Linked DNA regions of Macaca mulatta. The protein of the gene in region 1 binds, or shares a complex with, the protein of each later gene. Links are inferred from orthologs where the notes say so. Each region holds a gene or a part of one and is shown on either strand. Other genes may lie near its edges.

Region 1 (4,631 bases):
CGGCTAATTGTTTATTTATTTATTTTTTTTAGTAGAGACAGGGTTTCACCGTGTTAGCCAGGATGGTCTTGATCTCCTGATCTTGCGATCTGCCCATCTCGGCCTCCCAAAGTACTGGGATTGCAGGTATGAGCCACCACGCCCGGCATGCATTCCTCTTAAAACAGGGAACAAGTCAAGGATGTTTAATGTTATCATTTTTATTTAACAGACTACTGGAAGTCTGCACAATAAGGAAGAAAAAGAAAAAGAAGCCAGCTTAGAAAGAAAAAAAAAAACGCCCCATTTGCAGATGAAATTATCTATGTAAAAAATTCCAAGGAATCTATACAAAACCCCCCTAAAATTAGTAAGGAAGTTCAGCAAGATGGCAGGTTACAAGATCCGCACACGAAACCAGTTATTCAGAATGCAGCACAGAGGGACAAAAAGATAGAAAATATAGACGGTAGGTTAAAAATAAAGGTTTCTTATGTTCGAGTTCCAGAAAGAGAGAGAATATGAGACAGGCATCTGAAGAAAAATGACTGCGATTTCCCAAAACTGGTGGAAGATACCAACCCACAGATTATAGAAATCCAAAGACTTCCAAGCAAGAAACAAAACAAAAAGAAAAAATATCCCACTTAGACTTATGATAGCGAAATTGCAGAAGAGTGAAAGATGGAGAGCTGAGGAGGGAGAAATCAACAGGGGCCAAGTGAAAACAACGTCTACACCTTGGACTTAACGATAAAAGCGAATTCGTACTTGCAGAGTCATTGGCACCTGCCAAACCCCTTACACACATTAGCTGATTTACTCCTCACAGCAACTGTATTAAGTAGATTCTATCACTGCTTTCATTTTACAGATGAGGGAGTTGAGATTTGGTTATTTACCCAAAGGGGCACACTTTATCGATGTAGCGATAGGATTTTGAACAAGGTAGTTCTCGCTCCAGTTTTGTGCCCTTAACCACTACACATACTTGTTTCTCCAAAGGGCAATGGGAAAATGGGAAGCCACTGAAAGGCTTTAAACAGGGGAGTGATAACATTTGTTTCTGGAAGATTCCGGCACCACTGTGGATAGTGGATTAAATGGGGCTAAAGGTGGAAATAAAGAAGCTGTTGGAATAACGTAGCCCCAAACAGGGAGGGCCTGAATGAACTAAGAAGGTGGCAAAAGGCGCAGGCACAAGCAAATGGATTCGCGAGCTCTTCCGGAGTCGAATCCACAGGGCTTGACCTGGTATCGCGTTTTACTCCGGGTGCAGAGTGAGGAAAACCGGGTTTCTGACGCAGGCAATTGCGGTGGATAGTGAAAGTCATTCACTGAAGTGGACTGAGGCGGGACGCACAGGAGACTCGGAGGCCTGAGGACGAGCTAGGCTTTGGACACGGTAGATTTGTGGCGTCTGTAAAGCCCGCGGCCAGCCGAGGGGCAGGAAACGGCGTAAAGGGCAGAGCAGAAGCCGACTCTCTGGACCTCTCCGAGAAGGATCGTCCAGAGTCCCGGCCGCAGAGCACCTCTGCGCGGCGCTGCACGCGTCTCCGGAAGCCGCGCGCGCAGGCGCAGTGCGGGGGGCGCCCCCTGGCGGCGCAGGGACCGCCCCCAACCTCGCGCCGCCGCCGCCCGCCTCAGCCCAACATGGCGATGCACAACAAGGCGGCGCCGCCGCAGATCCCGGACACCCGGCGGGAGCTGGCGGAGCTCGTGAAGCGGAAGCAGGAGTTGGCGGTGAGGGGCTAGGACCGGGGTTGCCCGGCATGGGGCTCCGCGCCCGCCCCGCCTCCAGGCCCCAAGCCCGGCTGCGCCAGGCCGTTCGTTACTCCGGGGGCGCGGCGCGGCGGGCTGTGTGCTCGGCGGCCTGAGGCCGGGTGCGCATTCTGCGGCCCGCCGGCGGTTCAGCTTCCCGGCTGTGCGAATCCGGAGCCGGGAGGGAGCTGGGAGCGCGGGAGGGGGAGGGGCAGCGGCAGCCGCAGGAGGGGGCGTGGAGGGAGGACGGTGCCGGGGCTCGGGACTCGGGGAGAGGGCGCTAGGAAGGGCGAGGCGGGCGAGTCCGTGATCTTTGCGGGGTGGGGGTGGGGTAGGAGGCTAGTGTGGGAGGGGGACCGAGTCACCCTGTCTGGACTTTGGAGGATGGTGGGGAGCGTGTTCTTTTTGGTACTAGTAGTAGATCCGTTGAATGGAGGCTTTTGATAGACAGGGTTGTGATGTGTTTGGGAATATCTAGAAGGTGACAGGCGAGGGAGAAGAACACATTCTGGAGAATTCGGAATTGTGACAGGCACCCAAGGCCCAATGCACCCTGGTGGCTAAGCTCTTCCTGCCCTCACGTCTCGGCTTGGGCACCCCGGAGGCCCCTCTCACCTGAAGCTGCCCTTCCAGGTTTCCATAGCAACTGGCAGCCCGGTGCCGGCGGCCTCTCTGAGCCTGCGGGGAGGGGAGCGAGTTGACGCTGAAAGGCTGCTCACCCTTCCCTCTCCTGGTAGCGATACCTTTTGTGCGTGGGAGTGGATATCGCACAAGTTCTGCGTTAGCCTGGGTTCTTGACTCCTGGTTTCCGTGAATCCTCTAAAGTATATGCAAAATTTCGCGTGTGTGTGTATTTTTCTGGGGACATGCTTTATACATTCAGAGGTCCATCACACCCAAAGGTCTAGACTGTCTTAGTCCTAAACGGCTGCTCCTCCCCATATCATCCATCTCTCCACAGGGTGATTTAGTGTGGACAAGCTTGCGTTTACAAATCTAATATCAGGATTTCATTTTGGTCAGACTTAAGTGTTTGCATTTAAAAGGCATTATTCATGTCCTTGTTTTTCATCTCTCAGGAAACACTGGCAAACTTGGAGCGACAGATCTATGCTTTTGAGGGAAGCTACCTGGAAGACACTCAGATGTATGGCAATATTATTCGTGGCTGGGATCGGTATCTGACCAACCAAAAGTGAGTGTCGAAAGCCTGTAGTGTTCCTATTGTGTTCCTATTGTGTGTGTTTGTAGGACTGTAGGCTCTTAGTAGCAAGTTTGCTAGAGGCAGTAGTAAAGTGGTGGTGTGGTCTGGACTTGAACTCTTGGACTCTGGCTCAGGCACTGCCTCACTGAATAATCTTAGACAAAGCTCACATCTGTAAAATAGCAAAAGTTGGGCCTTTGGCACAGGGTTGTGTGAGGCTTAAATACAGCATATAACAATATCTTTATACAACATCACTCTATTAAATTTTTTACACATTTTAATCAGTCGTGAGTTCTACCCTCACAGTATTTTTCTTTTCTTTTTTTCTTTTTCCTCCTGAGTAGCTGGGATTACAGGCGCATGCCACCATGGCTGGCTAATTTTTTTATTTTTAGTAGAGACGAGGTTTCTCCATGTTGGCCCAGCTGGTCTTGAACTCCTGACCTCAGGTGATCTGCTGCCTTGGCCTCCCAAAGTGCTGGGATTATAGGTGTGAGCCACCATGCCTGGCCACTTTTCTTTTTTCTAAGAGACAGGGTCTCATGCTGTTGTCCAGGCTGGAGTGCAGTAGCACAATCTTAGCTCACTGCAGCCTCAAACTCCCGGGCTGAAATGATCCTCCCACCTCAGCCTCTCAATTAGCTGGGACTACAGGCACACAATACTGCACCTGACTAATTAAAAACATTTTTTTTTTTTGTAGAAGTGGGGTCTCACTTTGTTGCCCAGGCAGGCCTGGAACTCCTGGTTTCAAGCAGTCCTCCTGCCTCAGGTTCTCAAAGTGTTGGAATTAAAGGGGTGAGCCACCACGCCCAACTGACCCTCACAATTTTTGCCATACCTGTGTGCCAGCTGTACCACTGCTTGCTTAGTAATATTTTTAAAAAATTTCTAAACTTTTGGATTATCTTCAAGTTATAGAAAAATGGGAAGAATAGTATATGAACACTTGATACTGTCCTACCTGTATTCAGATTGTTAATGTGTTGTGACATTTGCTTTCTCTTACTCTCTATAATATTAATATAAGCACACACCTATATTTACATTTCACGTTTTTAAATTGTGAAATAATTATAGATTCATAGGGAGTTGGCAGAATGGTCTTTTGTAGTCTTCATCTAGTTTTCCCCAATAGGTGTTTTTTTTTTTTTTTTTTTTTTTTTTTTTTGAGACGGAGTCTCACGCTGTTTCCCAGGCTGGAGTGCAGTGGCGCGATCTCGGCTCACTGCAAGCTCCGCCTCCCGGGTTCCCGCCATTCTCCTGCCTCAGCCTCCTGAGTAGCTGGGACTACAGGCACCCGCCACCGCGCCTGGCTAATTTTTTGTATTTTTAGTAGAGACGGGGTTTCACTGTGGTCTCGATCTCCTGACCTTGTGATCCGCCCGCCTCGGCCTCCCAAAGTGCTGGGATTACAGGCTTGAGCCACCGCGCCCGGCCAATAGGTGTGTTTTATATAACTCTAATACAGTATCAAAGCCAGGAAATTGACGTTGGTACAATGTATATATATAGTTCTATGTCACTTTATCTTGTGTGTAGATTCATGTGACCACAATCAAGTTACTTCAGGAACTATTCCATTACCACAAAGATCTTCCTCATGCCACTCCTTTGTAGTTATATCTCCCTGTCCCCCTACCTTTTTTTCCTACTTAACTGTTTGAAAGTTAGATGCAGATAT
Region 2 (3,903 bases), on another chromosome or scaffold:
ATAGATGGCTTTCATGTGGAGAAACTTCAAGGATAGATGGCATACGCAGTAACAATTTTCGTCTTTTTCTGCTTAAATTCTTTTGGGATCAGAGTTGTGGTCCATGATATTTTGAGATGGTATATGGTTTTAAAAAAATATGATAGCTTTTCATGGAGACATTTAACAAAAGCTACTCTAAAGTTAAATGAGGTCTAGCACCAACGATTTTTTCACTACAGTGGACCTTTTTTTGTGATACTGATCTCCGAATGATCTTGGTTCATACTTAGTGCTAATACAGTAAGAATTAATTATCTTCATGTGTCTCACGTCTGTAATCCCAGCACTTTGGGAGGCCAAGGCGGGTGGATCACCTGAGGTCAGATGTTCAAGACCAGCCTGGCCAACATAGTGAAACCCCATCTCTACTAAAAATATAGAAGTTAGCTGGGCGTGGTGGTGGGTGCCTGTAGTCCCTGCTACTTGGGAGGCCAAGGCAGGAGAATCGCTTGAACCCAGGAGGTGGAAGTTACTGTGAGCTGAGATTGTGCCCTTGCCCTCCAGCCTGGGCAACGGGAGCCAATGAAATGGAAGCTCTTCATTTATTTAACAAAAGTCCCTTATTTGTACATTGTTCCATTTAAGTGTTCTAAATAAAGTGAAGTTGCCTGGGTGGGTGGGAGGATGGGAAATGCTTGTGGAATCCTTTCTTAGGTTTGAACTTGGTGTTTTCGGTGTCACAGCTTGTTTTATTTTCAATGTTAATGCAAACCCTCAGACCAAATGCTTCTGTGCTAATATCTGGATCTATGGTATTACAGAGGAATGCAGGCAGTAGTTCAGATGGAACCGAAGATTCCGATTTTTCTACAGATCTCGAGCACACAGATAGTTCAGAAAGTGATGGCACATCCCGACGATCTGCTCGAGTCACCCGCTCCTCAGCCAGGCTAAGCCAGAGTTCTCAAGGTAAAAATCTTCATTTTTCCTTACCACTCCTCACATCTGGCTGACTGGCCCATCACATTATTTTCCTAGTTAATGTGGAAACTGGTCCCTTGGCTTGGTGTAGATGACGGTGCACCAGATGATTGGTAAAATGTGGAGTGAATGCAGAGTTGTCAGGTCTTTAACAATGCTTCTGTTGGGGGCTGCTATCCAGTTTGTAGACCCAAAGGAACTGTGGATGGTATAATGGATAGAGACACATGTATGTCTTGAGTCATTTGTGTTTTTTTGTTTGTTTGTTTGTTTGTTTTTTTACATCGCCGTGTCTCCATCAGTAAAATGAAAATGTTATCCCTTCACTTTCTGTTTGAATGGTTTAGGCTTAGGGACTTGAAGTCCAGATGGTATCTGACTTATGGTGGTTTGATTTAATTATTATTATTTTTTTAACTTTACTGTGGTGCTAAAGCAATATGCATTCAGTAGAAACTTTTCGAATTTTGAATTTCAGTCCTTTCTTGGGCTAGTGATATGTGGCTGAAATATTTTCTTGTGATGCTGAATAGTGGCAATGAGCTATAACTCCCAGTCAGCGAGCCGTAACTCCCAGTTAGCCATTTGATCATGAGGGTAAACCAGTACTCTTCAGTGTACTGTCTTCAATAAATTACATGCAATATTCAACACTTTATTAAAAATAGGCTTTGTGTTAGATGATTGTGCACAATTGTAGGCTAATGTAAGTGATTTGAGCCTATTTAAAGTAGGCTAGGCTAAGCTATGATGCTCGGTAGGTTAGGTGTATAGTGCTTTTATTTTCTGGAGACAGGGTCTTGTGCTCTGTTGCACAGGTTGGAGTGCAGTGGTGTGATCTTGGCTCACTGCAACCTTGACCTCCTTGGCCCAAGTGATCCCCCCACCTCAGCCTCCTGAGTAGCTGGGACTACTTGGGAGATCTTATTATGTTGTCCAGGCTGGTCTCAAACTCCTGGACTCAAGCAGTCCTTCCACCTTGGCCTCCCAAAGTACTGGGGTTATAGATGTGAGCCATCATGTTCAGCCTGTTAATACTTTCAACTTATGATGGTTTTATTGGGACTTAACCCCATTATAAGTCAAGGAGCATCTGTAGTCTCTTGGACTTGTTATTGGCAGAGGCCCAGTACTTCTAAAACCATGTTTAATTCTGGAATGTAATCCAATACACACTTGATAAATATTAATAATTGTACCAAAATATCAGTGTGGAAATATAGAATTTTGCTTTGGTAATAAAGAATTGAGAATCTTGGGGTTGGAAGGTAGTTTGAAGTATCTCTAGTGCATTTAGGCATCTGGGGTTAAATTTGGAGGGTACCCTTGACCCCTCCTGGCTCTTCTCTGGTATTCCCTGAGGAGGAAAGAAGGTTGTAGCTAATATAGAGAGCTGATGATCAATAGGTGGTAATAGATTAGGGGAAAAAAGCTTTAACATGTTTTGAGCACTTCAACAGTGTTGCTTTGGTTACTTTTTTTTTCCCTGAGATGGAGTCTCGCTCTGTCGCCAGGCAGAGTGCAGTAACGTGATCTTGGCTCACTGCAACTTCTGCCTCCTGGGTTCAAGCAATTCTCCTGCCTCAACCTGCAAGTAGCTGGGACTATAGGCATGTGCCACCATGCCCAGCTAATTTTTGTATTTTTAGTAGAGGTGGGGTTTCACCATGTTGGCCAGGATAGTCTCAATCTCTTGACCTCGTGGTTTGCCTGCCTCGGCCTCCCAAAGTGCTAGGATTATAGGCGTGAGCCACCGTGCCCTGCCACTTTGGTCACTTTTATATCAGTATGTTGCACAACGAGAGAAAAACCATCAGTTTTTCAAGCAAGAAAGTGGGAATATCCTCTTTAACAACTGTTCTTAACTTTTTTTTTTTTTTTTTTTTTGAGACGAAGTCTTGCTCTGTCGCCCGGGCTGGAGTGCAGTGGCCGGATCTCAGCTCACTGCAAGCTCTGCCTCCCAGGTTTACGCCATTAACTTTATTTTTGAATTTAGGATTTCAGCTAAAGTATTGCTATTGTCTCTTGATTTCTTAAGCTTTAAATTTTTACCACAATGAGACTATGGATAAATAGCTACTATAACTCAAGCACTATGTTATGTCCTAGGAACCATGATAGAAAAATCATAGTTCCTGTCCTCAAGGATCTTACAGTTCAGTGCAAGATATAGATATGAAAATTGGTCATGGGAATATATTATGGCAAGGGCTGTGAGAGGGGTTTGCATAGAGTACTACAGAAGCCCAGAGGTGGGATAGCCAACTTAGGGCAGCACTCCCACAACGATGAAGTCTTTTTTGTTGTTGTCGAGACAGAGTCTCGCTGTGTTGCCCAGGCTGGAGTGCAGTGGCATGATCTTGGCTCACTGCAGCTTCCGCCTCTTGGGTTCAAGTAATTCTCCTGCACCAACCTCCCATGTAGCTGGGATTACAGGTGAGCGTCACCATACCTGGCTATATTTTGTATTTTTAGTAGAGACGGGGTTCGCCATGTTGTCCAGGCTCGTCTTGAACTCCTGATCTCAAGTGATCTGCCCACCTCGGCCTCCCAGAGTGCTGGGATTACAGGCGTGAGCTGCCGTGCCTGGCTGCACACTGACGTCTTAAAGGCTCTGATAGGAATTTACAAGTTGAAAGATGGGAATATGTTATTCTCGGCAGATGGAACAGCATATGCTAAGGAAAAGACATAATGTTCGTAGAAAGTATAATTGACCATGCCCTAGACACCTGAAAACTAAATATTCAAAACAGCTAGGAAATGCGTAAGCCCTGGGTCTTGACCTCATGACCACAGAGTTGCACAACTCTGGGGTACCATTTACAATGTCATCAATGTAAGGTGTTCCTCCCTAGAGCAAAATGTAGATCATATTGTGAAAGGAGGCCCCTGGAGATGTACAAGTTGATAACCTTGCTGTGTGCTAACTTTTCTCAC
Region 3 (3,206 bases), on another chromosome or scaffold:
CCTGTAGACCCAGCTACTTGGGAGGCTGAGGCAGGAGGATCGGTTGAACTCGGGAGGCGGAGGTTGCAGTGAGCCGAGGTCATGCCACTGCACTCCAGCCTCACAACAGAGCGAGACTCCGTCTTAAAAAACATAACAGAGGCCGGGCGCGGTGGCTGAAGCCTGTAATCCCAGCACTTTGGGAGGCCGAGATGGGCGGATCACGAGGTCGGGAGATCGAGACCATCCTGGCTAATACGGTGAAACCCCGTCTCTACTAAAAAAATACAAAAACTAGCCGGGCGAGGTGGTGGGCGCCTGTAGTCCCAGCTACTCGGGAGGCTGAGGCAGGAGAATGGCGTGAACCCGGGAGGCGGAGCTTGCAGTGAGCTGAGATCCGGCCACTGCACTCCAGCCTGGGCGACAGAGCGAGACTCCGTCTCAAAAAAAAAAAAAAAAAAAAAAAATAACAGAAACACACAAATGAAAACACACATAGACCCAGATTATATATATATTGATTGACGAAAATACTGTGAGTAAAGGCTCAAGAGAGCCTAACCCTGTATTCCACTAGGAGCAGTGGCTCAGGATCGGCTAATTGGAGTGTTCACGGTGACTCTCTAGAACCTCACTGCGGTGAATAAGGGGAACTGACTGTATACCCTGGTACCAGCCCTGGGCGGGCCCCGCTGCAACAGGGAACAAGACAGGTTCTGTCCCCTCCTTTGTGAAGCTTCATGTCGAGCACGGGAGTGGGACCTTGATCCAGTAATCCTCGAGGCAGAGAGCTAGCTTAAAGCAGCCCAGCTCTGCGGAAAGGTGTCCTTGGGGGACTGACAGTTGTGGAAGGCTGCGTCATCAGGGGGTGATGTCATCATGTGACAGGAGACACGAGCTAAAGGTTAAGTGGTGTTGGGCCCACTGAGTGGGTGGTGATGGGAGGTGGGAGTGTTTCCAGCAAAGGGAATGAAAAGGGAACATCCCCCTGACAGCCCCCTCTTTCTGCCTCTTCCTCAGAATCCGGGGCACCAGCTACCAGAGCCCCCACGGCATCCCCATAGACCTGCTGGACCGGCTGCTTATCGTCTCCACCACCCCCTACAGCGAGAAAGACACGAAGCAGATCCTCCGCATCCGGTGCGGGCAGGACCAGACCGTGCGCCTGGGAGGCGGGGCTGGGGTCTACCCTGTTTGACAAATGCCGACACTGAGGTCTGGCGGACTGGCATGGTGGCTGGGCCTGCAAGAGAGAGGGCTGATCTGGCACCCAGACAGTGGCCGCCGATCCGGGAGCAGGAGCCATGGTGGGAAAGGGAGGCGAGGTACCCGTGACCGGTGTGGGGGCCAGCGCCCTGGGCGTGGTCAGGAGGCCTAGGTTTTAGATCCAGCCCAGCCCCTGTCTCCGTGGCTCTTCTAGCCTCAGCATTCTATGGTTCTAAGATGCAGGCGCCACATATTCCCAGTGGGGAAGGACCAGAGGGTTGCTGTGGCCACTTCTGCTGCAGTCAGAGGCTGGGCCCTGGCTGAGCCACCCCCGTCCCCCACTGCTTGCAGGTGCGAGGAGGAAGATGTGGAGATGAGTGAGGACGCCTACACGGTGCTGACCCGCATCGGGCTGGAGACGTCACTGCGCTACGCCATCCAGCTCATCACGGCTGCAAGCCTGGTGTGCCGGAAACGCAAGGTCAGCCTGCCGAATTAGCCAGCAGGGCCAGATGGCGGCAGTGAGTGACGCACTACTTCAGGGGCTGCCAGGGTTCCAATTTCAACCTAGGATGTACATTTTCAGAGGCAGGGAATTTTCATCCCTCAAGTTGTCTTCTGTATCTCCCCGCCTGGCCTACAGTAGGTGCTCAGTAAATCTCTGTTGACTGTAAGTAGATGCTGTTAGGTCCACCTTACAGATAAAGAAACTGAGGAATGAAGAGGCTGGGCCCACAACCAGGAGATGGCCAGGCAGGTTTTGAACCCAGGCGATCTGGCCAGAATGCCCTCCCCTCACATGCCACCCTCTGCTGCCTAGAGCATGGAGGTGACATATGCTGGGGTCTGTGCCGTGAGCCTCACGGAGAGGGGCCCAACTCAGGACCCGCCCTCCCCCTCCAGGGTACAGAAGTGCAGGTGGATGACATCAAGCGGGTCTACTCACTCTTCCTGGACGAGTCCCGCTCCACGCAGTACATGAAGGAGTACCAGGACGCCTTCCTCTTCAATGAACTCAGTAAGAATCCCTACCCTGCACCTGCACTGCCAGAGCCAACCTCGGGGAGGAAGAGGGAGCTCGGCCTAGAAGGCTCAGGCCCTGCCCCCTGGGCCACACTGACCATGTGGCCTTCCTTCTCCCCACAGAAGGTGAGACCATGGACACCTCCTGAGCTGGATGTCATCCCCTGTCCCCACCCTGTTTTCTACCAGAGTTCTGACACTGTGACTTTGTATAAAATGGTTTGAAGCTGCACCCACTCTGTGTGTGGTTGCCCTGAGCCCACAGAAAGACACCTCCAGAGTGCGCACTGAGAAGCCTTTATTGCGGGAGGAACGGGGTGTCTGCTGGCTCCAGGAGTCAGGATGGACTTGGAGGGCTGGGGGGAGGGTCTTTAGAGGAAGAGGAGGCCTGGGAGTTGGGGGTGGTCACAAGTCAAAGGGTGGTCCTTGGGACCCCCGCAGTCAGAGGTGCTGCGGTGGCAGGGTCCACAACGACAGCTGAGAGCCACAGGGAAGGAGACCACGGGGTCCACGCCAGGCAGGCAGCCAGGGAGCTGGATGGAGTCGAAGCGCACCTCGCGGTAGGTGCACACCACCTGGGGCAGGGGCAGCAGGGCCGCCTGCAGCACCCGCATCTGGAGGATGTGTGGATAGGGGAGTGAGCATGTGCCTGGGGCCAGCGCCTCCGCTGACCTCCCAAGCTGCCTCCAAAGGTCCCAGACTCAGGAGTCCAGGAAGCCCTCTGTTCCCGCCTCCCACACCCCATTCCCCAGCCCCTGACCAGACAGGCAGACCGCCCTTCCTCCCCCGCTGCCTCTGTGACCCGGCCCTGAGGTGGCAGCACCTGTCTCTGGCCTGGGGCAGCTCACCATGGTGGGGCAGTAGCCGGCACAGATGCTGGTGTTGACGGTGATGCACACGGGGCAGGCCTCCTTCTCGGCAGCCAGGGTGGCATTGATGGGGCGGCACAGTGGCCGCAGCGGCTCCCTGGATGCCCGTGCCCCGCCCATGCTCAGCAG
Region 4 (4,411 bases), on another chromosome or scaffold:
ATGGTGATACTATCAAAACCTGAACATACATTCCACTTACATAATGCCTATATGACCTTGTGCAAATTATTTAGCACAACTGGGCCTCAAGGCAAAGAGAGATAACTATTATTTCCTGATTAACTGAGAGCATGCACTTGAGGGTATTTCATTAATGCAATGCAAATAATAGTTCTTCTGGACACACAACTCTTAATTTTTTTTTTACTTGTCATGCCCTTAATTTTTTTTTCTTTTCGTAGCCATTTTGTCCTACATGCCCCTAATTTTGAATTGATCTCTCAAACCTTCAGGATTGCTAGTCTTTGACCTCATACTACCGTGTATGGACAACTATTGACCTGAGGATGTCACTTTCTGCCCCAGCCACTCCCCAGTTCCTTTACCTGCTGCTTGTCCTCTAGGGAGGTAGAGATGACAGAGCAGTCTGACAGCAGGTTCTTGCGTACCACAGACCCCAAATCTGCAGCTGTGGACTCAAACATGGGAGAGACTACGACATCGTCATCGGACAGCAAGCCCGCTGGCGGAGAAAGGATCCCTTGCGACATGACGGCAGGGGCAGCCTAGGTCTAAAAAGAGACCAAAAAGTGGGCAGGGAGAAGAACCTTTAGGGACAGAAGGGGCCGCGAATTTTAGGTAATAAGTCCCTTGCCCCAGGACACCGGGTCCCGCTCCCTACTTCCTTTCCCCTCTAATTATCGGCAAAGGGGAAGGGAATGAGAGAAGTTCACTTAATGAACAATCGAGAGAAGTTTGAGGTTGCATTTCTGAAAGCGAACAGAAGTCCACAGAAATCTGGCTCCAAAAGCAAAAGGCCAGGCCTAAAGTAGGGCACCTCGCCCGCCGGTGCTGTGGAGGTGGTGTCAGGATCCCTCGGCTCCTTTTCTAACCTCAAGGACCACCGTGAGAACAGAGATGCAGCATTAAGAGAAAAACAGATGGCTGCAGTTCCGATTTCTTAAAGCCTATTCCGCGTGGGCAAGAGCTGGTAACCCGGGCTCCAGCACAGCCGCACACTCACCCGAAGACGTGCCACTTGCTCCTCCTCGGGTACCGGCTCACTCACACCTAGTCGCCGAACCTGGACTTTCGCAGCCGGAGAGCACAACTCCGCCCACGAGGTGCAGCTTTGTTACCGATACAATATTTTAAATTACGCGCTGCGTTCGTTCGGCCAATGAGATAGGGAAGTCTGCAGCTACCAATCCGCGTAAGGAAAAGGGGCGGGTCCGACTGGAATTCCAGTAGTTTGCATCCGCTTGACCTCTCAGATCTAATGTGGGTCCGGGTTACCAACTGTCGCGGGTTAGGAGTTATTTCGCTTGGGATTCTTCCAGCTTAACCCTTTTTCTTGAACCTTAGACATTTCTTACCTAAGAACCCTAAAGGAAATCTTGAGGCTTCAGCCGCCAACCCCTGTCCTTCCTTAGCAAAAATCTTAAAAGGATTGCACAAGATAACTGGTTTAGGGTGCTTGCTTTGTCTTAGGGGAAAAAACGACATTTCCCAGGAGGCACCGCGAACCAACGCCGGTACTCTACTTCCCAGAATTCCAGGGTTTCGGCCCTACCAGACCGTCTCTCCTCAGGGTTGGAGACTTCGGGGCCAAGATGGCGACGGGAACGGGCAGTGAGTATCTGAGCAGGTTTTGCGTGAAAGGCGTTTGTAGATCCGAGGCTAGGCACCATATTTTTGTTACACGCTTAGGGAGTGGGAGAAGTGGTTTGCTTGAGAGCTCAGGGTTTTCAGAGACCTGCGCTCCACAGCATCGTGAAGACCAACGTTTGGGGGCCCAGAAATCTGGGGTCTTGTTTCTCAGGGAGGGAGCGGAGGTGTGAGAGAAGGAGCTTAGTGAATCCTAGTGTGTTAGGAGCCCTTCGGGGTAACCGTAAAAGCACTCTAGAAACTTGGGCGTGCAGACGAAAAGATGTTATGAGCCAGACGGAGTAACCGGCACCTCAAAGAGCCATTCATTTTTTGTTCGACGTTTGTGAGGCAGTGGAAGTGGGGCCTTTTAACCATGAGCTTTTCTTGCCACTCAGGAAATTGCATCTCGGGGATTTCAGCCATTTTTCTTTTAGTGGACTGAAAAGGTCTTTTAGGCCCGACATTTGGAGTAGAGGATCTGAGAGAAGTAAACAAGTTTATGCTAAGAGGGAGGCGGGGTTGTAGGAGGGGCTGGCCGCTCGGGTTCCTGGGAAATAAGCCCTGAATGAGTTCAAACTGGAATAAAGTCCAGTGTTCTTAAAACTGGGCTTTTAGGGAGAACTGCCTAATCTGACATTCCCAATTTTTTAATAAAGCGGAGCTTCAAGCCGTGGCGTTTTAAGAAATAAAATGTTAATAATTCACATGCAACAAATTGGTACCACGGTCACTGGTGATACTTCACTTGGAGAGGTGAAAATCAAGATTTGGTGATAGTAGCTCACTTTGTCCTAACAAGTTGGAATATTTTGTATTAGGCTTTTAGTCCCCTTTTTGGGGATTTTGGAGCTTAGCACTACAGTCTCAGTGGTTGCTTCCAAGGCTTTTTTTTTTTTCGTTTCCCAGAACACAAGCTGCTGAGTACTGGCCCCACAGAGCCATGGTCCATCCGAGAGAAGCTGTGTTTAGCATCTTCTGTCATGAGAAGTGGAGATCAAAATTGGTAAGCTATCTAGGATGTCAGCTTTTCTGGGTCTTAGAAATTGTTAGATACTCTTTCACATTGATAGATTTCTGTAGTTAATCATATTAAGCTGTAAGTAGACTTTTTCTTCTTCCCTTTTTTTTTTTTTTTTTTTTTTGAGACAGTCTCCTTCTCTCGCCCAGGCTGGAATGCAGTGGTGCAGCCACGCCCAGCTAATTTTTTTAGTTTTTAGTAGAGACAGAGTTTCGCCATGTTGGCCAGGCTGGTCTCGAACTCCTGACCTCAGGTGATCCACTGGCCTCAGCCTCCCAAAGTGCTAGGATTACAGGCGTAAGCCACTGCGCCTGGCCATGCCTGGCTAATTTTGTATTTTTAGTAGAGACAAGGTTTCACCATGTTGGCCACGCTGGTCTCAATCACCTGACCTCATGATCTGCCCGCCTCGGCCTCCGAAAGTGCTGGGATTACAGGCGTGAGCCACTGCTGCCGGCCTTTTTTTTTTTTTTTGAGACAGGGTTGCACTTTGTGGCCCAGGCTGGAGTGCAGTGGTGTGATCTTGGCTCACTGCAACCTCCATGTCTGAGGCTCAAGTGATCCTCCCACCTCAGCCTCTTTAGTAGCTGGGACTACAGGTGCACACCACCATGCCCAGATAATTTTTTGTATTTTTTTGTAGAGATAGGGGTTTCATCATGTTTCCTAGGCTGGTCTTGAACTCCTGGGTTCAAGCGATCTGCCCACCTCAACCTCCCAACCTACTGGGATTACGGGTGTGAGCCACCAGGCCAGCTGTATTTTTTTTTTTAAACAGCTTTATTGAGATATAATTCACATACTATAAAATTAACTTACTTAAGATGTACAATATAATGGTTTTTAGTATATTCACAGTTGTGCAGCCATTACCACAATCTAATTTTAGAACATTTTCTTTATTTTTATTTTTTTTATTTTTTATTTTTTGAGGCTCTTGCTTTGTTGCCCAGGCTGGAGTGCAGTGGCGCAATCTTGGCTCACTGCAAGTTCCGCCTCCTGGGTTCATGCCATTCTCCTGCCTTAGCCTCTCGAATATCTGGGACTACAGGCGCCCGCCACCACGCTCAGCCTATTTTTTTTTATTTTTAGTAGAGACGGGCTTTCACCATGTCAGCCAGGGTGGTCTTGATCTCCTGACCTCGTGATCAGCCCACCTCGGCCTCCCAAAGTGCTGGGATTACAGGAGTGAGCCACCGCATCTGGCTGACATAACGCTTTTAAGGTTCATTCTTATATAGCAGGTATCAATACTTAATTCCTTTTTTAGCTGAATAATAATCTGTTATATGAATATACCAAATTTTGTTTATCCATCGCTTGATAGACAATTGGGTTGTTTCCACTTTTTGACCATTATGAATAATGCTGATGATACGCACATTTGTGTACAAGGTTGTGGACAATGTTTTTAATTCTCTTGAGTTTTTTATTCAAGGAGTGAAATTGCTGGGTTATGTAGTAACTCTATTATGTTCGCTTTTTTTTTTTTGCAGACAGGGTCTCACTGTCACCCAGGCTGGAGTGCAGTGGTGCAATCTTGGTTCACTGCAACCTCTGCCTCCTGGGCTCAAGTGATTCTCCGGCCTCAGCCTCCTGAGTAGCTGGGACTACAGGCACATGCCATCATCCCCGGCTCATTTTTGTATTTTTTGGTAGGGATGGGGTTTTGCCATGTTGCCCAGGCTGGACTTTTTTTTTTTTTTATTTAAATATTTATGTTTTTGTAGAGACGAGGTCCCA
Region 5 (4,466 bases), on another chromosome or scaffold:
CCCAGCTACTCGGGAGGCTGAGGCAGGAGAATGGCATAAACCCGGGAGGCGGAGCTTGCAGTGAGCTGAGATCCGGCCACTGCACTCCAGCCTGGGCGACAGAGCGAGACTCCGTCTCAAAAAAAAAAAAAAAAAGGCACAAGGAATTCTCTGCTGCTATTCCCCTCTTAACTAGCAACCCTCTAGAACTAAAGCGCTTCCTTAAACAGCCAACCTTAGGCTGTTCCTACAGAAGCGATTAACTTTTTGTGCCTTGACAGTCTGATACAGCCTACGAGCCGAATGATTTCATAAATACATAAAACACACAGTAGTACAAAGGCAACCGACTGTATCGAAACACCAAAACATTTTAAATGTCACGTTCTATGACATTACAGGACAAAGACTTGGCTAGTCATCCAGCAACTACCCTAATTTTGAAGAAACGAGAATGATTGATAACTGAAAACATCTTCCACAACTGTAATGCTGAGATCTGAAAATACTAATGCGGCGTTTTTTTTCGGGGTTTGGGGGGAGGAATTACACTGTTAACTGAAAACTAAACTTGGGTACACAGAAAAAACACATCTTCCTCATTCAATTTCACGGACCCTCTGAATGCACTAAGAATATCTGCTCTAAAACGTCTAGTAAAATAATGAATCCATAGGAGGTAGAGTCACAGATTCTCAAGGTGGGAGAAGGGTATTAAAAGTCACACGGCTGAGCGCGATAGCTCACGCCCGTAATCCTCCCACTTTGGGAGGCCAAGGCGGGTGGATCGCTTGAGCCCAAGACTTCAAGACCAGCCTGGGCATCATGAAACTCCGTCCCTACCAAAAATACAAAAAAAAAAAAAAAAAAAAAAAAAAACCCACAAAGAAAGAAAAAACCCCTAAAAACAAAACAGAACAAAACTCAGCCGGGCATGACGGCGCGCGTCAGTGATCCGAGCTACTTGGGAGGCTCGCTTTAGCCCGGGGGGCAGAGGTGAGCCGAGTACCATAACTGCCCTCCAGCCTAGGTGACAGAGTGAGACATTGTCTCAAAAATATAAACAGGCCGGGCGCGGTGGCTCAAGCCTGTAATCCCAGCACTTTGGGAGGCCGAGACGGGTGGATCACGAGGTCAGGAGATCGAGACCATCCTGGCTAACATGGTGAAACCCCGTCTCTACTAAAAATACAAAAAACTAGCCGGGCGAGGTGGCGGGCGCCTGTAGTCCCAGCTACTTGGGAGGCTGAGGCAGGAGAATGGCGTAAACCCGGGAGGCGGAGCTTGCAGTGAGCTGAGATCTGGCCACTGCACTCCAGCCAGGGCGACAGAGCGAGACTCCGTCTCAAAAAAAAAAAAAAAAAAAAAAAAAAAAATATATATATATATATATATATAAAAAAACAAAAAAGTCACTCGTTAACAAAATACCCCTAAAACTCCCTTAAATATCCCATAAGATACGCAGTACTACGGTTTAAGATTTATGTCTCTAAAAGGAATTTTAATGCAAGTCTAAAAATCCCTAGAACAAAAATAGTACGCATGGAAACACCGTATTTACGGTAACTAGCATAAATTTCCATAGCAATGAAAACGAATATTAGAGTGTTCCTCCTTTTACAGGATTTTACTTCCTTTTTAGCTATTAGACCTCCACCTTATTATACATAAATTGAAGCGTTGTGAAAATTTAAAGAGCTGCCTTCCACTGGCAGTCTAACCCTAGCCAAACCTCATGCCAATCGAAAACCAATTAATAAAAATAAACTCAACTTTCAAGTCACTGTTAAACACTGCAACTAATCAAACAATTACTGCATTTAAAAAATGACGTCGAGACAATGGGACTTACAAAGGCAAACGGCGTTAACACTGCATTCAGATCATTTTTATTTACTTTTTACGAGCAACTGCAAAGCGAGAGCGCACTAACGTTACCATAGGATCTTGGCACTGCGCCTAAGAGCAGAATGAGGCCTCCAGGCAACACAAAGCGGAGGAAAACGCTCATCCCACTGATCCTTTTTTTTTTTTTCTGTCCCCACCCACCACTCTGAGGTAAGCGAAGGGTCCCGGCAACCTTGCGGTCTTCGTGGAAGGGGGCGCTGCATCTGCCCTGAAGCTGCGCCTGCATACGGGGCAGAGACGCCAGCGGCCATGATGAAGCCGCCATGTTGCAACGGCCATTTTACAACGCAGTTCTCCCGCCCCGTGGCGCCAAACCCACCCCCATCTGCAGCTCCGAGTCTCCACCGAACGCGACCACCCCGGGGCTCCAGGGAGCACCTAACCGCCGGTCGTGGCTGCCCAAGCGGCCGGGCGCGCTGCAGGACAGCCAGAAACCACCGCCGCCCCTCCCCCCGCCGCCACATCACTTCCCCTAACCGCCGCCATGGCGCCTTGGTCGCCTCCCTACAATAGGCTGCTCTCTCCGCGCCCTCTTCCTCAGAACAATAACAAACACTTGACGAGGGTGTGCCACGCGCCAAACGCTCCCTCTCCCACTCTAACGCCTGCGTAGCACTCTCGCTTCACAAAGCGCTCACAATGACGCATCGGAATTGCCATCCGCAATGCGCTTTCCCCGCACAAAGCACTATCCGCCGCCTTCTCAGGGTGCACCCCGAGCCACCCCCGGCCCTCAAACCTCAACCACCTCGAGCCCGCCTCCATCTCCTGCGCCGTTAGGTGCCTTTTTCCCAAAGGCGCACACTCACCCTCCTGGAATTTAGGCTTCGGGTCCTGCTTCGGCGCCATTTATAAGTGATTCGCCGCCTCCTCCTTCTCCCACCACCCCCGACTACCGCCCCCTACTCTCTACCCCACCCAACTCCGCGTCAGACGCGCCGTCAGGCACTGCCAGCTCTACATCCTGGGCCGGATTTGCCAGCGCCCGCAGACCTCACAGCAGCGCGACCCGCGCAGCCGCTGCTCCAGCCAATGACAACCCGCCGCGCCCGCGCCCCTGCGCCCGCGCCGCCCCGGGGCACGCCGGGACTGGTAGTTTCTAGTTGGTGGAGGCGCAGCTGGGTGGGGGAGGGGCCGGCTACCCTACCCCACTCCTCCCCACCCCCCCGCCACTCCCCATCCCCCGGGCTGCTGCGGGTTGGTAAAGCGGGGAATTGATTACGTGGGAGGTTAAAGCAGAGCGGGCAATGGGGGAGAGTCGGGGCGGTGAACCACCAGCGATGAAAAAATGGGAAAAACCCAGTTGCGACGTCCTTTGGGCAAATAAGCCCCCATTGATGTTGAAGTAGCCGGAGAGAATAGGGCTGCCTCGAAAACCTATATTCAATAGCATTCCGCTAGTTTTTGCATAGAAAAGCTTTAGGATCAGCAATGTGGCCACAAGAGGATGGGAAGTGGGGTCCGCTTCTGGAAGCTTCGTTGTTTAGCAAGCCCACTGCCTAGTCTATTTGGTGGGATTGATAGCCATTTGTTGGCTCCCAGGTCTACCTCCTCTTCTCCAGTCCCGGCCTTGCGGAAATGAGGAAGATGACGTGGGAAACACTAGTCAGGCTTTGGCTTTTTGAGATAATGGAGCTCTGCTATCCGCAAAAGGCTAGTGTGAATATGCCAACCTCTGCATTCCGTACCTGCCCTGTTTGTACTTTTTTGTCATCTAATTTTTTGAGCCATGATTGAATGTACACACACTAAACAAACGGATTTCTTCAATATTATATATTTTTCTTTTCTTTTCTTTCTTTTTTTTTTTTTTTTTTTTTTGGAGATGGAGTCTCGCTCTGTCGCCCAGGCTGGAGTGCAGTGGCCTGATCTCGGCTCACTGCAGCCTTCACCTCCCAGGTTCAAGCGATTCTCCTGCCTCAGCCTCCGGAGTAGCTGGGATTACAGGCACGTGCCACCACGCCCAGCTAATTTTTGTATTTTTAGTAGATACCGGGTTTCACCATGTTGTCAGGCTGATCTGGAACTCCTGACGTCGTGATCCGCCCGGCTTGGCCTCGGAAAGTGCTGGGATTACAGGAGCAAGCCACCGTGCCCAGCCTGCCTCCATGGCTTTTCTAAGCCCTCCCCTGCCCGGGTTCCACACCCTACCATTTCCGGGCCCCTCTCCATTTTTCTGACTTCCATTTCTCCTTCAGTCTTTTTAACACAACCCCTTCTTCGACAACAGAAACCCACAAAAATCTTCGTTATTCCAGTTGAATATACACCATCTTGTCACGGCTGCTACTTGCAAGCTTGTCCAACCTGCCTTATTTTCCTGTTGTTTTGTTTTGTTTTGTTTAGGCTTTTAGCACCCTGAAGCCATGGTTTTTAGTTTCAGTCTCTAGTAATAAGTAGAAAAGAGGGATGAGGAAGGGGCTTTACTGGCCCAACCAGATACAGAAACTAAGAACCCATGACTGTATTCCCTCCCTTGGACACCATTACTAAGCTGTAAAAAGGGACAAGGGCTTCTTTGAACCCCATCCCACCAAAACTGTCCTGTACACTTTTAAATTTTTTATTGAATATAA
Region 6 (3,903 bases), on another chromosome or scaffold:
GTGTTTCAGGAATCAGTGTTTTAAATTTTTTTTTTTTTTTTTTGAGACAGTCTTGCTCTGTTGCCTAGGATGGAATGCAGTGGTGCAATCTCAGCTCACTGCAACCTCCCCTTCCTGGGTTCAAGCAATTCTTCTGCCTCAGCCTCCCGAGCAGTTGGAACTACAGGCGCCTGCCACCATGCCCAGCTAATTTTTGTGTTTTTAGTAGAGATGGGGTCTCACCATATTGGCCAGGCTGGTCTCGAACTCCTGACCTTGTGATCTGCCTGCCTCGGCCTGTTTTAAATCTTACTGGGTCATTCTGATCACTAGTCAGGAAAAGAGGAGGAACAGGGTTTGGAGCCAGTCTTGTCCAGCTGTTTGACCATGTGACATGGCAGTCATCATAATTGTTTTTCTTTTTCCTTTTCTGAGATGGAGTCTCGCTCTGTCGCCCAGGCTGGAGTGCAGTGGCGCCATCTCGGCTCACTGCAACCCCCACCTCCTGGGTTCAAGTGATTCTCCTGCCTCAGCCTCCCAAGTAGCTGGGACTACAGGCGCACGCCACCACGCTTGGCTAATTTTTTGTATTTTTAGTAGAGATGGGGTTTCACCGTATTAGACAGGATGGTCTTGATATCCTGACCTTGTGATCTGCTCGCCTCAGCCTCCCAAAGTGCTGGGATTACAGGTGTGAGCTACCATGCCCAGGCCATCATAATTGTTTTTCTTTTAGCTCAAGGTTTTAAACCGTTGAAATGCAAATTATGACTTAAGTTACACCTTTATGTAAGCAGATTTTCCTTAGGTGGTTCTAGACCATGGCTGTACATGATATTCACCTGGGGCCTTAAAAAACCGCCAATGTTAGCCAGGCAGGTGGCCCCTGCCTGTAATTCCAGCTACTCAGCTGAGGCAGGAGAACTGCTTGAGCTCCGGAGTTTGAGACTATCCTGGGCAATACAGTGAGACCCTATTGCTAAAGAAAACAACAACAACAAAAAACTGGCTGGGTGTGGTGGCTTGTGCCTGTAGTGCCAGCTGCTCAGGAAGCTGAAGTGGGAGAACTGCTTGAGCTCAAGGCTGTGGTGAGCTATGATCACGCCACTGCACTACAGCCTGGGTGACAGGGCGAGACACCATCTCAGGGAAAAAAAAAAAAAAAGGAAAGGCCAGGCGTGGTGGCTCATGCCTGTAATCCCAGCACTGTGGGAGGCCGAGGCAGGTGGGTCACTTGAGTCCAGGAATTCGAGACCAGCCTGGGCAATATGGTGAAATCCCATCTCTACAAAATATATAAAAATTAGCCAGCACCTGTAGTCCCAGCTACTCAGGGGGCTGAGGCAGGAGGATCACTTGAGCCTGGGAGGCAGAGGTTGCAGTGTGCTGAGATCATGCCACTGCACTCCAGCCTGGGTGACAGAGTGAGACCATGTCTTAAAAAGAAAAAAAAAAAAAAGCTGGGCGCTGTGGCTCATGTCTATAATCCTAGAACTTTAGGAGGATTGCCTGAGCCCAGGAGTCTGAGACCAGCCTGGGCAACCTAGGGAGACCCTGTACCTACAAAAATAAAAATAAGAAAATTAGCCAGGCATGAAAGGACACACCAGTGATCCCAGCCACTCTGAAGGCTGAGGTGGGAAGGTCACTTGAGCCTGTGATCACACTACTGCACTCCCGCCTAGGTGACAGAGAGAGATTGTGTCTCAAAAAAATGAACAAACAAACAAAACCCAAGAATCTCTCTTCTAGGTCTTTTTGTACGAGCAGTTTCAGATGAGGGGGAAAAGAGAAAAGAAGCAAAAACTACCACCAAAAGGAAGAAAAGGGCCTAAAAAGGAAACACAGGAAACTGAAGATAAACTTGGCCTTGTTACAATTCTGAATTGGACTAGCCTTGACTAGAAGTAACTTAAATAAATATTTTCCCTCTAAATTAGGATATACTTCCACAAGTAAATGTAGCAGACTCAAAATGACAATCTTGACAATAAACTATATAAGAAAGATCAGGAATTCAAACTTATTTTGAAATTCCTAGCAACCTTCTCTCCAGTGAAGATACACACACATACACATTTTATGTCAAAATGAATATGCTTGGGGACTCCTTCTATTAGCTTACACCCAAATCCTATAATTGCATTTCTATATTTTAAAACCTATTATCTTACCTTTCTAATGGTTGCGACACATATTGTAGAAAGATTTAATGGGTCTATAGCTTCCAATTTCATTCCTTCCTTGAACCATTCCCCACTCTGGTCTACTTCTTTTACCTAAAGAATTATATGAAAGCACATCTACTGTTACAAATGTTGTTATTTTAATAATTAAAATATTACCAATGTGAAAAGATTTACCAGGTGCCTTCTCCTACCTACCTAGTATTATAACTCAAACTTCCATCAAAGTTTAGAGAGAATTCAGACAAATAGAATTTAAGAATAATTATAATAAAGAGTTGTGACACCTATGAATTTACAAGGTCTTAATTCTTTTAAGTGAACACATGTAACTGTGATTTCCGTAATTTTAGGAAAAAACCCACAACCCTCTTTCAAACCTAATTTACAAATGAGGGTTCTTATAAAAACTTCTTACCTTAGCAAATAAATGTGGTGGTGTATCAAAATGTCCATCCTGTTTCTTTGTAATATCTACAAGGAAAAGTTACACACTAATCTGTCAGCATTTGTGAGAAGACCAAAAACCACGTTCTTTGAAGGCTTCAAACTCACAAGGTATGTCATACTATAAAACATGGCAAAAAGACATGCCTTCTACATTTGGGGTGAATATTCTTTAATAGTCTTTTCTCTCTTCAGGGTACATGTGCATATATGCTTTTAAATATATTCAGCCAATTTTAATGCTCATAATTTTAATGTAATTCCCTAGTTAGAAAATTACAACTTTAGAAGCATGTTTTCATGTGCTTAGTATTAAGTCTAACCACATTTCATCTTGCTATTTTGATTAAAATTGAATGGAAAGGGAAAGGGATCTTTAGATCTTTCAAATGGGCTGAATAATAGGCTGAATAATAAAAGAAAGAAATAACTGTAGTTGTGACCAAAAGTTCATTCTTTTGGAGAACAAGTGGAAAGAATATAAAAAAATTTATTAGGACACTAACATGGTGTGAACCTTCACTAATTAAGGTAGAATAAGCAGCCCAAAAAACTAGAATGCTATTTTTGATCTGTGCAATTCTGCAGAGAAAAATAACCAACTAGTATAATTCAGCCTCAATGATGCTTTTGACAGGAGTTCTTGTGACAGGTGCTTACCAGATCTTTTGAATCGATGACCTATGCTTCGAGACCAACCGATATGATGTATTAATGGGCTGTGCATATGGCACCAGAAGTCATCTGTTCTATCTTCGCTTTCTTCATACACTAGTCTTAATCTTCCTCCAATTACACTTTCCACCACTGCTACTCGTGTTCGACACAAATGCCTCTTGTCAACCACTTCTACTCTCATGCAAGGTTTGAAAGGATACTGCATACTCTCTGAAACCTTAAAAGCATACAAAAAAAACTGCTCGAAATTCATGACAAGAATTTCTTGTCTACAAGAAATTTTCGTATTATACTGTAAAAAATACTGAATGCATTTGAAATGTAACACACATCATCTGGTTCACAAAATTAAAACAATTCCTTAAAAATGTTCTTTGTTACCCTTGTTTTTTAGAGCTCTTCAGTCTTTTTTTTTTTTTTGAGATGGAGTCTCGCTCTGTCGCCCAGGCTGGAGTGCAGTGGCCAGATCTCAGCTCGCTGCAAGCTCCGCCTCCAGGGTTTATGCCATTCTCCTGCCTCAGCCTCCCAAGTAGATGGAACTACAGGCGCCCACCACCTCGCCCAGCTAGTTTTTTTTTTTTTTGTATTTTTTAGTAGAGACGGGGTTTCACTG
Region 7 (3,903 bases), on another chromosome or scaffold:
CAGCGTGTGCCTTCGCACAAGAGCCGGTTTGCCCCGCCCACATTTGGGCACACTAAAGCTTCGGGAGGAAGAGCAGAGGGAGTCAGGTGTCCCACCCCTGGCTTCAGCCTCACTCAGGTTTCGTCCCGTGGGCTGCCCGCCACCAAGCCGGCCACGCGTCCTGCCTGACACCCCTGCAGCCAGGCAGGCCTGTGGGTGCACAGGTCTGGAGGGAGTGAGCCTGTGGCAGGGGGTACTCAGGAGGCCAATGAGACAGGCAGGGCTGTGCTCACTGCCAGATTCTGGGAGGAAAAGATCAAGTATAAACTTAATTGCAGTTTCTAAAATTGCGTTCCTATTTCACGTAGTGTTTTTCCTACTTCTGCTTGAATTCTACAAAGCAGATTAATATGCAGCACGGGAAACCACCCACAAGAGCAGAGCACACATGAATCCCAGGCCAGAATTTTTCAGAGGGCACTAAGATGGGAGCTGGAACGTCCTGGTCTCCAGGACAGCCAGGCAGGGCGGGTGGCTCGGGAGCTGCGTGGCAGGAAGTGCGGGGCCGCGGTGCCCACCTCGAGTCGCAGAGCGGGCTGTTGCTGGAGGAGATGCTGGACTCGGAGGCGCAGCGTCGTCGGGGTGTGGCTTTCCTCCCCAGGCCGCCGCCTGGCTCCTGCTCGCTCCTCGTACCCCCAAAGCCGTTGGTGAGACCTGGAACACAGGCAGGCCAGCCCTGAGCTCAGCGCAACCAGGGCGTGCCCAAGCAAGACTCAACTAGGTTTCACTTGGAACACATCTTACAAGGAACGTTTCACAGACAGGTAAGACAGCATCTTCCTTTTCACTCCCAGAGTACAGTCCTTACAGTAAGCAAACACCAAAGTTACTCGTTAAATGAAATCAATGTAACAAATTGCAGTCAGCTCTGACCACAGTAGTTTGCTGAGCACCGTGAAGATGCTCCTCTTGACAAGCCCAGGTCTTTAAACAGGCTCTGTGAAGGCAAAGAAAGGATGCCGTGAGCCTGCCACAGGAGCAGATGTGCAACCTGTGAGTGCAAACACGGGGGTGGCCTGTCCACGTGGGCACACGCCGCATCGGGACGGACCCTTCACCAGGCTGAAAGGGTCACCAAAGACACAAAATCGTGTTCACAGGAGCAGAGTTCCAGGGAACAGGAAATCAGGTTTTAAAAAGAAAAAACCTTGGTTCAAAAGACAAGTGTTAACATGAAGTCAAAAATGCTGACGAAACACTTTAAAACAGAGAATCCGGGGCCATGGCCGTGTCTGAGTGTCTCCGGCCTCACTCACTATGAAGCTGCGATCACTGGCATTCAAGTATTATACACAGCTACACAAAACACAGTCTACAATTCCATCATCTCAACATTTGAAAAATAAGGCATATCTCAGTCTTTTCCCCCTAAAAAGGCCTGACTTTATGTCAGTCAACAGGAAACAATACATGTGCCCAAGGTCCCCCCCATGAGGTCCCCCACGGGAGTCACAACGGGGGACGATGTTCCCGCCAGGGCAGCCTCTGGGTGTGAGAGCTGAAGCGGTGTGTAAATTTTTTTTTTTTTTGAGACGGAGTCTCGCTATGTCACCCAGGCTGGAGTGTAGTGCCGCGATCTCAGCTCACTGCAAGCTCCGCCTCCCGGGTTCACGCCACTCTCCTGCCTCAGCCTCCCGAGAAGCTGGGACTACAGACGCCTGACACCACGCCCGGCTAGTTTTTTGTATTTTTAGTAGAGACGGGGTTTCACCGTGTTAGCCAGGATGGCCTCCATCTCCTGACCTCGTGATCCGCCCGTCTCAGCCTCCCAAAGTGCTGGGATTACAGGCGTAAACCACCGCACCCAGCTGTGTGAATTTTTTTTATCCAAAAAGAACCCCATTTTCTTGCCTACCTCATCCTTAAAAATTTTTAAATCTATTTCCAAAGGAAACTGTGTAAATTTGTAAATAAAGCATTAATGTAGAATTTTTTTTTGGAAACGATGTCTTGCTCTGTCACCCAGGATGGAGTGCAATGGACTCCACAGCTCACTGCAACCTCGACCTCCTGGGCTCAAGTGATCCTCCTGCCTCAGCCTCCTGAGTGGCTGGGAGACATGTTTCAAAGGGAATGGCTGGACTGTGGGGTTTTCCACCTGATTCGAACGCTTCCCGTCTGTTCTCAATGAGCACGACTGACTGAAACAGAGGGGCTAAATCAACCTCGGTGAACAGCTCAGAAGGAAATGCGCAGACTAGGAGGGCACCGTGCTGCCCTCCACAGACTCAAGTCAGACACTCGCTCTGTGTCTGCTGGACTGGAATGTACCGTGAGCTCCAAACGAAGCTCTGTGTTTCTCATTTTAACCTCGGTCATTTTAAGGCAGGAAATACGGCCAGGTGGGGGTGTCATACTCATTTTTGGCAAGGGAACAAATAAACGCAAGAATCTACAGTAGAAGGCCTTGAGCCACATGCTGAGCTGCCCCAGGGCTCCACATCCTCCCCACACTTATCACAGAGCGGCTCAGACCCTGCACACTCAGGCCCTGAAGGTGTCTCAAGAAGGAGTTTAAAGTCCTGTCCTGGCCCCTGAGGACCCCTCAGGAGCAAGGACTCCATCCCTACTCCCACCTGAGTGGGTGAAGGCAGGGGAAGCCCACCCGGCTTGCATCAGCAGTGGACGGATGGAGCCCAGCACCCCTGCCAGCGTTCAGCCCACAGGCCCAGGGACGGGTCTGCCAACGCGTGTGAGCCGTCTCCAGACAGCAGCCACCAGCCTGGCGACCCACACCCCACAGCCAGGCCCCCAGCGCACTTCAGACCCCAGGTACAGGGTGAGCAGACGTGGCCCAGGGCCTGGGTAGGGAGGCTTTGAGTAGTTACTGCTCCGCCGAGCAATGGCCACCTGGGGGGAGACGAGGACCAGTGCAGCCTTCACAAGACTGCCCAGTGACGCCAGCCTGAGGGCCCCAGCACCAGAGCACCCGCAGCTGTGCCGGCACCTGCAGCCCCAACACAGCCAGGCCATGCACAGGCCACTCACTAGCCATGACAGCCCCAGCTCCATGAGCACCACTGCATGGAGTGGGGCCAGGCAGGGGATTAAAACACAAGGCAAGTCCTTAATTCTCAGGAAGAGAAGAATGATAAAATGCCCCTCTTAATTTTCCTAAGCATTCAGTGAGTGCACATATGACGCAAGTACACACAGAGGTTCCGCGTGTCACCCGTGAAAATGTGACAGCCCCCAGGAAGACGTGGGCAGCACGGACAAACCCAGACCAACCAAGACGCCACCCAGCGAGAGGCCTGGTGGGGGCGCGATGGCCGCAGGGCCTGAAAGGCAGTTCGGGAGCTACAGCAGTGCAGGGTCACCCCAGAGGCCAGACCAGGCCACAGACATGGCCCGGGAGGCTCTGCGGCCACTGCCTGGAGTCCCCAGAACCTCCGGGGAGCTTCGAGGTGGCCTGTGCTGCCCAGACCCTCCCAGCCTCCACCTGGGCCACCAGAAAATAATCTAAGACAGCTATGGTTCTGAGATCTCTCCATCTCAGCCCTGCCAACTCCCGCCCTGTGAGGCTCTTCCGGCCAGCTGGGAAATGTCCATCATGACGCGCACCCTCGGCACCCCTGCAAGGACCTCAGCCCAGAACATTCTGAAGCCCAGGCCAGCCTTGAGGTGGGAGCCAACGTGGGGAACCCAGGGCCTGAGGTCTGCAGAGAGGGGTGCCTGGTCCATGAGGCATTTGCAAACTGCAAGCACTGACATCGGGCCCAAGTCTCTAAATTGTGTATACGGCAGGGGGCAACTTTCAGCAACTTTTTCAGCACGAGGTGTTTTTTTAATGCTGAAAGTAAAGCTAGTGATCGTGCAAAATACATTAAAAGAGGCGGCGGCTGCCAGGGAAGGGCCACTGTC

What was found.
Region 2: MEAF6 (region 1) and KAT7 share a complex: the UniProt entries of both Homo sapiens proteins name them as parts of the HBO1 complex. The link is inferred for Macaca mulatta from reciprocal best matches to the Homo sapiens genes MEAF6 and KAT7.
Region 3: MEAF6 (region 1) and RUVBL2 share a complex: the UniProt entries of both Homo sapiens proteins name them as parts of the nuA4 histone acetyltransferase complex. The link is inferred for Macaca mulatta from reciprocal best matches to the Homo sapiens genes MEAF6 and RUVBL2.
Region 4: MEAF6 (region 1) and BRD8 share a complex: the UniProt entries of both Homo sapiens proteins name them as parts of the nuA4 histone acetyltransferase complex. The link is inferred for Macaca mulatta from reciprocal best matches to the Homo sapiens genes MEAF6 and BRD8.
Region 5: MEAF6 (region 1) and MORF4L1 share a complex: the UniProt entries of both Homo sapiens proteins name them as parts of the nuA4 histone acetyltransferase complex. The link is inferred for Macaca mulatta from reciprocal best matches to the Homo sapiens genes MEAF6 and MORF4L1.
Region 6: MEAF6 (region 1) and MBTD1 share a complex: the UniProt entries of both Homo sapiens proteins name them as parts of the nuA4 histone acetyltransferase complex. The link is inferred for Macaca mulatta from reciprocal best matches to the Homo sapiens genes MEAF6 and MBTD1.
Region 7: MEAF6 (region 1) and BRD1 share a complex: the UniProt entries of both Homo sapiens proteins name them as parts of the MOZ/MORF complex. The link is inferred for Macaca mulatta from reciprocal best matches to the Homo sapiens genes MEAF6 and BRD1.

The regions. Positions count from the first base shown.
Region 1 is NC_133406.1:203,283,923-203,288,553, forward strand, and holds the start of MEAF6 (chromatin modification-related protein MEAF6), read left to right. Parts: upstream 1-1,611; 5' UTR 1,612-1,632; coding exon 1,633-1,722; intron 1,723-2,819; coding exon 2,820-2,935; intron 2,936-4,631.
Region 2 is NC_133421.1:60,212,563-60,216,465, reverse strand, and holds part of KAT7 (histone acetyltransferase KAT7), read left to right. Parts: intron 1-803; coding exon 804-951; intron 952-3,903. UniProt on the Homo sapiens protein: Catalytic subunit of histone acetyltransferase HBO1 complexes, which specifically mediate acetylation of histone H3 at 'Lys-14' (H3K14ac), thereby regulating various processes, such as gene transcription, protein ubiquitination, immune regulation, stem cell pluripotent and self-renewal maintenance and embryonic development.
Region 3 is NC_133424.1:61,470,442-61,473,647, forward strand, and holds the end of RUVBL2 (ruvB-like 2), read left to right. Parts: intron 1-999; coding exon 1,000-1,119; coding exon of another isoform or gene 1,120-1,138; intron 1,139-1,510; coding exon of another isoform or gene 1,511-1,536; coding exon 1,537-1,666; intron 1,667-2,088; coding exon 2,089-2,203; intron 2,204-2,331; coding exon 2,332-2,357; 3' UTR 2,358-2,439; downstream 2,440-3,206. Other genes in the region: LHB (lutropin subunit beta), read right to left, coding at 2,580-2,822, 3,057-3,206. UniProt on the Homo sapiens protein: Possesses single-stranded DNA-stimulated ATPase and ATP-dependent DNA helicase (5' to 3') activity; hexamerization is thought to be critical for ATP hydrolysis and adjacent subunits in the ring-like structure contribute to the ATPase activity.
Region 4 is NC_133411.1:147,032,962-147,037,372, reverse strand, and holds the start of BRD8 (bromodomain-containing protein 8), read left to right. Parts: upstream 1-1,571; 5' UTR 1,572-1,613; coding exon 1,614-1,632; intron 1,633-2,556; coding exon 2,557-2,653; intron 2,654-4,411. Other genes in the region: kinesin-like protein KIF20A, read right to left, coding at 387-551. UniProt on the Homo sapiens protein: May act as a coactivator during transcriptional activation by hormone-activated nuclear receptors (NR). Isoform 2 stimulates transcriptional activation by AR/DHTR, ESR1/NR3A1, RXRA/NR2B1 and THRB/ERBA2.
Region 5 is NC_133412.1:57,080,451-57,084,916, reverse strand, and holds the start of MORF4L1 (mortality factor 4-like protein 1), read right to left. Parts: upstream 2,820-4,466; 5' UTR 2,740-2,819; coding exon 2,700-2,739; exon of another isoform or gene 2,630-2,699; intron 2,548-2,629; exon of another isoform or gene 2,355-2,547; coding exon of another isoform or gene 2,063-2,354; intron 1-2,062. UniProt on the Homo sapiens protein: Component of the NuA4 histone acetyltransferase (HAT) complex which is involved in transcriptional activation of select genes principally by acetylation of nucleosomal histones H4 and H2A.
Region 6 is NC_133421.1:58,802,208-58,806,110, reverse strand, and holds part of MBTD1 (MBT domain-containing protein 1), read right to left. Parts: intron 3,508-3,903; coding exon 3,273-3,507; intron 2,640-3,272; coding exon 2,584-2,639; intron 2,259-2,583; coding exon 2,154-2,258; intron 1,157-2,153; exon of another isoform or gene 914-1,156; intron 504-913; exon of another isoform or gene 191-503; intron 1-190. UniProt on the Homo sapiens protein: Chromatin reader component of the NuA4 histone acetyltransferase complex, a multiprotein complex involved in transcriptional activation of select genes principally by acetylation of nucleosomal histones H4 and H2A.
Region 7 is NC_133415.1:1,665,479-1,669,381, reverse strand, and holds part of BRD1 (bromodomain-containing protein 1), read right to left. Parts: intron 694-3,903; coding exon 558-693; intron 59-557; coding exon 1-58. UniProt on the Homo sapiens protein: Scaffold subunit of various histone acetyltransferase (HAT) complexes, such as the MOZ/MORF and HBO1 complexes, that acts as a regulator of hematopoiesis.